Linked DNA regions of Caenorhabditis elegans. The protein of the gene in region 1 interacts with the protein of each later gene in a pairwise test. Each region holds a gene or a part of one and is shown on either strand. Other genes may lie near its edges.

Region 1 (3,927 bases):
CTAACTGAAAATTTCCAAAAATGCAAAAAGTCAAGCCACCTAGGGGACTCGAACCCCTGACCTTAAGATTAAAAGTCTCACGCTCTACCAACTGAGCTAAGGAGGCCCTTGGTCTGCAGGCAGATGTTGAAGGGAAGGAAACAACGGTGATGGACCATTTTCGGCGGACATGGAAGTCACTATGCCGTGTGTAGAAAAAGTGCAATACGTGTAAAAGCTATACGTTTTAGATGTTGGAGAATCTTACACAATGGCATTGCACAATAATGCAACAGCCTGGCCATGTATAGTTTTGTGATTGACGTATAATGCAATTTGCATTGTTTTGTTCAATGATTTTTAAATTTTGGATGGCATATTTTTTCATATTTTTTAAAATACAGTTCGGAAAATTGACTTTGCATAAAAGAAAGTCACTACCCGTTTTGTTCAATCTTTTTGGGTCAGAGCGCTTGATGAACGACTTGTATACATCAACCGGTTCCTTATCAATACCTTCAGTTATGTTATTGCTTCACAAAATCTACTGCAAGTAGTTTTTGTGGGAAATTGGTCTGAGCTTCATACGTCACTATTCCCGTTGCTCTTTTTTTGCACCGCTAAAGCACATGTCTGCGTCTCTCACATGTCACATGTTTCTGAAGTCTGAGCGAGCGTCTGTGCCTCTCACTGAACACTATCTTTTTTGAGAAGCAGCGTAATGAAAAAAAATTCAATAGCTGCTGCATATCAGTGAGTGTGTCAGCTAATAGGGCTTCACGCGTTATTTCATCTTTTCATAAAAAGTTTCCCAGTGACTTCGCGGGATATGTTTAATTTTTTGAATGTTTTCCTCCTTTATTAATTCAGTGAAAAGCTCAGTTAATTTAAGCCACATTGTGTCATGCTGTCCCATTACGGTTTTATCTACAAAAATTGCGGGAATTTTTCTCCAAAAAAATGTGACGTCGGTACGTTCTTAACCATGCGAAATCAGTGGAGAAGTCTGCTTATAAATTCTGCCTTCCAATTCTCGTAGATTTACGTAGTTCAAACCAAAATGGGACACTCTGACCCTACGTGCTACGTTGTTAAATGCAACCTCGTTTGACGACTAATTGCGTATATATACAGTGCTGGCCAAAAAGATATCCACTTTCAGTTTTTTGACAATTTCGATATTTTTTCCAATGGGCATAACTTCAAAACTAGGAAAGGTATCAAAAAATTTTCAACTGGTAAAATGTAGCTCGTGATCAGGCCTATGTATTTTTACATGTTGCAATTATTCATCCATCACATGGCAAGTAATAAAGCGGCGGGCATCTCGTGAGTCCGTTTTTGACGATGATTACTAAAACGACTGTAACTCAAGAAACATATTTTTAATGAAAGGTTTGAGAAAGTAACAAAATGTTTATTTAATTTTTCATTGTTTGAACATATCAACTTTGTCCTAAAACCTCCATTTAAAAAAATGTGTGCGCTGAAACTAGTGTCTCATTAGACACTGTTTAGAGGCTTTGTTCAAAAATCAGGTTTCTTGGATTGAAAATCTTTTTCCGACAATTTTTGTGAAGAACTGATGTTGTTATTATATTTGAACTACATATTAACCAATAAACAGAATTCAGAAAAAAAAATCTACTATTTTTGAGAAATGAGCTCGATATTACTCTACACTTCTCTTCTTTAAACTCTCTTGTCTTTTTCAATGGAGGTTTCAGGACGAAGTTAGTATGTTCAAACAATAAAAAATTATATAAACATCGTGTTACTTTCTAAAAACCTTCCATTAAAAATATGTTTCTCGAGTTACAGTCGTTTTAGTAATCATCATCAAAAGCGGACTCACGAGATGTCGGCCGCTTTATCACTTGCCATGTTTTGGGTGAATAATTTAATCATGTAAAAATACATAGGCCTGATCACGAGCTACATTTTACCAGTTGAAACTTTTTTGATAGCTTTCCTAGTTTTGGAGTTATGCTCAATGGAAAAAATATCGAAATCATCAAAAAACAGAAAGTGGATATCTTTTTGGCCAGCACTTTATATATATATATATATATATATATATATATATATATATGTATATAATTTATTATGGGATACAATACTAAATGAAAAGTACGTTATATACATAAATACGTAATATTTTTAATTCAGCAAAAAATGGTACGAATCATTTGCAAAAGAAAAACGGCCGAGGACAAGCCAAACGCATTTGAATTCAAAAAAGTCAACAAAGGTCTAACTTCTCCCAGTGATGGCCCTTTTGTCATAGCACATTTTCCTAAAAACATGATTTGGGAAATTGACCAAGAGGTAATTTTTTTAAAGAGGATTAGCGCCAGTGGGGAAATTGCTTCAAAACATGCCTATGGTACCACAATGACCAAATATCACAGTTAAAAATTTGAAATATTTTTTCTAAATTTTATATTATTTTTCGAAAATCAACAAAAAAAACCCAAATTGCATCAAATCCCCATTTGAATTACCGCCAATAGTTCGATGCTCGATAGAGCGCGCTTGCCATTTTATTAAATTTTTTATTCATCAATTTCTCTCATTTTTGACTGATTTTTCATGTTTTTTCTAGAAATTTTACTGGAAATAAATTGAAAAATTCAAGATAATTGTAATTTTTTTCATTAAAAAGCGGGCGCTAAAGCCTAAACCTGTGAAATAGATTTGTTCAGGCTAAACGTCGTTGAAAAACGTTCTTTCTTTGTTTTCAGTTATTTTCAGTGGACAATCTACATTTATCTTGAATTTTTCATTGAATTTCTAGTAAAATCACACAAAAAAACATGAAAAATAAGTCAAAAATGAGAGAAATTGATGAATAAAAATTAAAAAAGGCAAGCGCGCTCCATCGAACATCGAACTATTGGAGGTAAATCAAATGGGAATTTGATGCAATTCGAGATTTGTTCATTTTTCAAACAATCATATAAAATTTAGAAAATTTTTAAAAATTTTTTTACTATGATTTTTGGTCATGGTCTTTGTGGTACCATAAGCATCTTTTAAAGCAATTTTTCCAATGGCGCTACTCCATCTTTAATTATCAAGAACTGGTCGGGTTCAGTAATCAAAATTGACCCACTATCTTTCAAAACAAATTAAAAATTTTCAGACATCAAACGAAAAGTACATTGCGTATTTCCCAACAATAGTTTCTTCGCCCGATACAAAGCGACTGATGGAAAATGATCAGCTGAAAATGTTGTATGAGAAACTTCGCGATCACAAATCCGGCCCACTGAAAACACAGGTTTTTTTGCTTTTTTTTTTTTGAAATGAATTTTTCTCATTTTCGGAATTATTTTGTCAATTTTCTCTGGAGCTGGAAAATCCGACGTCGTCGGTTTTTACAAATTTTAAATTTTTCCGATGTGTAGGTTTTCACGTCGCCCGACATTTTGCGAGTTTGGTTACTCATTATAAAATTGAATAGAGCTTATGAGTATAGTGAGTGGCTAAACTCGGAAATTGTCGGCAGACTTGAAACTCTTCTTATTGGTATATTTTCAAAATTTTGAAAACCGGACACCGTACGTCCGGTCCGGACGTTGTACGTTCAGATTTGCGACCCCTAAATTTTTCATTGAAAATATACAAAAAATATAAAAATTCCTTTTTCGTGGAAAAGTGTGACCCAAAAGCGTAAAAAAGAAACCAAGATAGAAGCAGAGCCAATTTTTCAAAATAATTATACTTTTTCATGAATTGGAAATAATCATAATAAAACGAATCTTTTAGATAGATTAAACTAGAAATAGTCGAATTTGAAATTTTAACAGTGCATTCTCACACTACTTCCGAGGGCTTTAAAATTGCTCCAAAAGTAAACTTTATCAAATTTTAAAGAAAAAAACGGGAATTCCAACAATAAATTAATTATGTATGTTTTCAGATCGATGGGACAAATTTTGTGGC
Region 2 (3,927 bases), 1.0 Mb from region 1:
TCGAATTTTCCTTCAATTTAAAGTGGTTTTCGGCCAGTACTTCGGTGTGCGCAAAAACAAGAGGGTGTGGTTTTCCGCTTGTGGAGCCGACAGGATGCTCCAAAATCAACCCCCTTTTAGATGAACACACGTCGCTATACTTTGTGAATGTAGAGAAAAAAGAATTTCAAAAATCGGTTCCGTGAGAGCCGAGATATAAACGTTCAAAGTTGTATTACACATTTTTCGGACATTTTTTGAACATTTTTTGAACACCGAAAACGCGTGTGTGTGGCAAGATGGGGGTTTTAGGAAGGAGGCAGACAAAAAAATTTGCCGAACGGAAGAGCCTCTCGTCCCTAGTCTGAATCTCACTGTTTGAATTTTGTTTAGACATTTCCCAGAGTTTGGACATGAATCTAATGACGATTCAAGTATCGTTTTCATTTTTTTTGCAATTCAAGTTAAAACATAATAAAACCAATCACGAAAATGCCTCCTACGCATTTATATCAAATTATGACTCATTTGGTCTCCTTCAGTGGAAATTAGCTATTTAAAACGGTGATTAAAATGCTTGAAAGTAAACCAAAAAAAAGTCATAAATGTTTTGAAGTGTTTTTTTTTAATTTTTACGTCTGTTTTCTTTAAATAATTTTCCTTTAGACTTGTTTAGATTGCTAAAAATGGATTAGGCACATTTTCCAAAGTTCATGGCACAGCTATAGCGAATTGAAGTTACTAATTAGAGTTTTAATATTATTATTTATGAAACAAATTTTTTAAGAACACATATTTTCTGTGAAGAGTTCATTTTAAAATTAGCTATCCATTTGAATATTGTTTTACGATTGTTTGCCGAAAATTATTCCAAAAGTTCCGAGACTTTTAGTTTCTATAGTTCGGATTATTCTGAATTCTGAACTAAAATTTTCAAATGTACAACTTTTCATGTTAATTCAAAAAATGACTCGTTTGCGCTGCTTTTGTGACAGCTGCATATTTGAAACACTGATAAAACTACGTTTTTTATTTAAGTCTGCAAAAATTGAAGTTAAAAAAATAAATCTTTGTTTTGGAAAAAAATTCAGTATTAGTATTAAATATTTCGATTTTTAACTGTGTACTTTTTTCTTTTAAAACCCTCTTTTTTTAAAATTATTTTTTAAAATAATTTTTGTATTTAATAACAGATCAGGCAAACAAATTGTTAAGAATTAATAGAAATTAAACTTCTGAGCTGCAGTTTCAGATTTGTTTGAAGTTATTGAACAAAAATCAAAATTCCGAAACGTTAAGTTGACCTCTATTCAAAAAACAAACAAAACTCCCTCATCTAAACGTGTTGTTATGGTCAGTGCGCAGTGCGCAGGTGTGGATTTACGAGCGGCCGAGGGGTCGGGTCTCGACGGGAAACCCCTTTCGCCTGAGTCTCTGCCCCTGCATATCGCTACGTGGTTGACCGGCTGAGAGGGGGAAAGTGTTCACTGCATAGCATATTTCCGTTTTCATAAACCTTTTACGGTTTAAATTCATCAGTTTTAGCTCGTTTCGCTTCAAATTTCTCATTTTCGTCTCCTTTTTTTTTCGTTTTCTACTGCTCAGTTGTTCGTAAAGCGAGGAGAGACAATCGATGAGAAAAAGAGACACAGATGCGGCCCAAATGTTGCATTTCTCCTCTTTTCCGTGCCTTACACCCGTTCTCCTATCGATTTTTGTCCCTGCGTGGCAGTGACCACATCTCTTCCGTTATTTTGTCTCGTGTTCGTGTTCCTCTTGCGAGAAGTTTCATTTATAATTTTTTTAAAATAAAACTTGATTTAATTTTAGAAAAATTACAGAAAAATGTCGGACTTTGGTAATCCGTTGAAGAAATTCAAGCTTGTGTTCCTCGGGGAACAAAGTGGTGAGTATTTTGATTGAAATTCTACCGTAGATATTGAATTCTCAAGTTTCTAAATTTCAGTCGGAAAAACCTCCCTAATCACTCGCTTCATGTACGACTCCTTCGACAACACCTACCAGGCCACCATCGGAATCGACTTCCTGAGTAAGACCATGTACTTGGAGGACCGAACCGTAAGAAATCAGTTTTTGCGTAAAGAAATGATTTCAAAATCCGTAATTTCAGGTTCGTCTTCAACTTTGGGACACCGCTGGACAGGAACGTTTCCGCTCACTCATCCCATCCTACATCCGTGATTCTACAGTTGCTGTTGTGGTTTATGACATCACCAGTAAGTTTGGAAGAAGTTTTTCTGATGTTTCATGCTGTAAAGCTTCACACTGGATCCTCTGGGAGAAATTTTTTAACTATAGTAGTGTATATAGTAGTAACTATAATAACTATATTGGTTTAATACTACAATAGTCACTGGCAGCTCTAATGCGAAAAGCTTCTAGCAAGAAGAGAAGCTCAAAAAACAATTTATATTGATAGAAAAGTTAGAATCCAAAAGGAAACCATTATTTTTTGTTTAATCTTGATTTTGAACTAGGGTGGGCAATGAAAAAACTCTCGGTAACGACAAAAAAGCTTCATTTAACCCCAACTTTTTTGCAGACTCCAACTCTTTCCATCAAACTTCCAAGTGGATTGACGACGTCCGTACTGAGCGTGGAAGTGATGTAATCATCATGTTGGTCGGCAACAAGACCGATCTTTCCGATAAGAGGTTCGAATGAGAGTTTCCGCTAAAAATTCAATTAAATTGTGTAGTGGAAACGGCGGAATATGCATTTAAGTAGCTCCAGGCTGAAGTTTTAATCGGCATAACTTTCAGTATGAAATCTTGGCTAGCTTAAAACCTTCTCTAAAGATATTGTTTGGAGATAGGAAATAGCTTTAACTGAAATTACGTTAACATAAATTGGATCTGCACTAACTTGAACTAGCTTCAACTGGACCTACCTCAAGTTTATTTTTTATAATCAGAGCCTACGCTTTTCAAGCCCAAGCTCTCTATCTCCAGCTCATCCTTAAACACAATTCAGTTGAACCTACTACATAAGCTACATAAGCTGAATCTCCCATAATTTGATTTTTCCTGAGCAAAATCTACGTTACATTAGGCTAAAAATGCGCATTCTAAACAGAATTAGTTCAAGCTAAACTTACCTTGCGCTGGCCTGTTTCGAGCTGATCTTGCGTGGTCTTAGCTGAACTATCTTTTTCTGAAACCTGTTAACCTAACTAATAAACTCAATGTGTAATGCTCCAGGTCTATTAATTTGTAACTGACATAAGACTTACATATTTTGTTCAGGCAAGTCACCACCGACGAAGGAGAGAGAAAGGCCAAGGAGCTTAATGTGATGTTCATCGAGACTTCTGCCAAGGCCGGCTACAATGTGAAGCAGCTTTTCCGTCGTATCGCCGGAGCCCTACCAGGAATCATCAAGGACGACCCAGTGGAGCCACGTAAGTTTTAAAAACCTTTTTAACTTCAAAAAGCCATGATTTTTTTCAGCAAATGTGGTCACGATGGACCCAATCCGTCAGCGTCAAATTGTCACCGACGAGGGATCGTGCTGGTGCTAATCTCTTTGTATTCCTGAGCAAAATGTCAAAAAAAGGTTGTGATACTCCAATCTCAACGCATAATTTATTTAAAGCATCCTCCGCCCCCGTAATGGTTTTGTCATGAAGAAATATTAATTATCCCCCTTAAAAGCGCTATCGCCAGTAAGTTTTGATATCTTAAAATTCCCCAAAAACATTATCGATTTTTTCTGTGTGAATGAACTCTGAATGGCTTCTTCTCTATTAACTTATGCGATGGTAAACATGTGTAATTTTCTTTGTAACATAATAAATTATTATTATTTTAAATTTTTTGCTTCTTATTTTTGCTTGGCTAATTTTAAGTGTGATAATGATTTTTTTTTGTTTTCATTTTTACTCTCCCAACATCTCTGTTCTCGAATAAATCTTCTCCGCTTTTGGTG

Evidence for each region.
Region 2: the proteins of F23A7.3 (region 1) and rab-6.2 interact in a two-hybrid assay, tested with the Caenorhabditis elegans proteins (one large-scale study listed by BioGRID).

The regions. Positions count from the first base shown.
Region 1 is NC_003284.9:16,217,862-16,221,788, forward strand, and holds the start of F23A7.3 (Crinkler (CRN) family protein), read left to right. Parts: upstream 1-2,148; 5' UTR 2,149-2,154; coding exon 2,155-2,307; intron 2,308-3,124; coding exon 3,125-3,262; intron 3,263-3,904; coding exon 3,905-3,927.
Region 2 is NC_003284.9:17,220,655-17,224,581, forward strand, and holds rab-6.2 (Ras-related protein rab-6.2), read left to right. Parts: upstream 1-1,820; 5' UTR 1,821-1,824; coding exon 1,825-1,885; intron 1,886-1,945; coding exon 1,946-2,058; intron 2,059-2,110; coding exon 2,111-2,216; intron 2,217-2,542; coding exon 2,543-2,654; intron 2,655-3,245; coding exon 3,246-3,400; intron 3,401-3,449; coding exon 3,450-3,520; 3' UTR 3,521-3,811; downstream 3,812-3,927. UniProt on the Caenorhabditis elegans protein: The small GTPases Rab are key regulators of intracellular membrane trafficking, from the formation of transport vesicles to their fusion with membranes.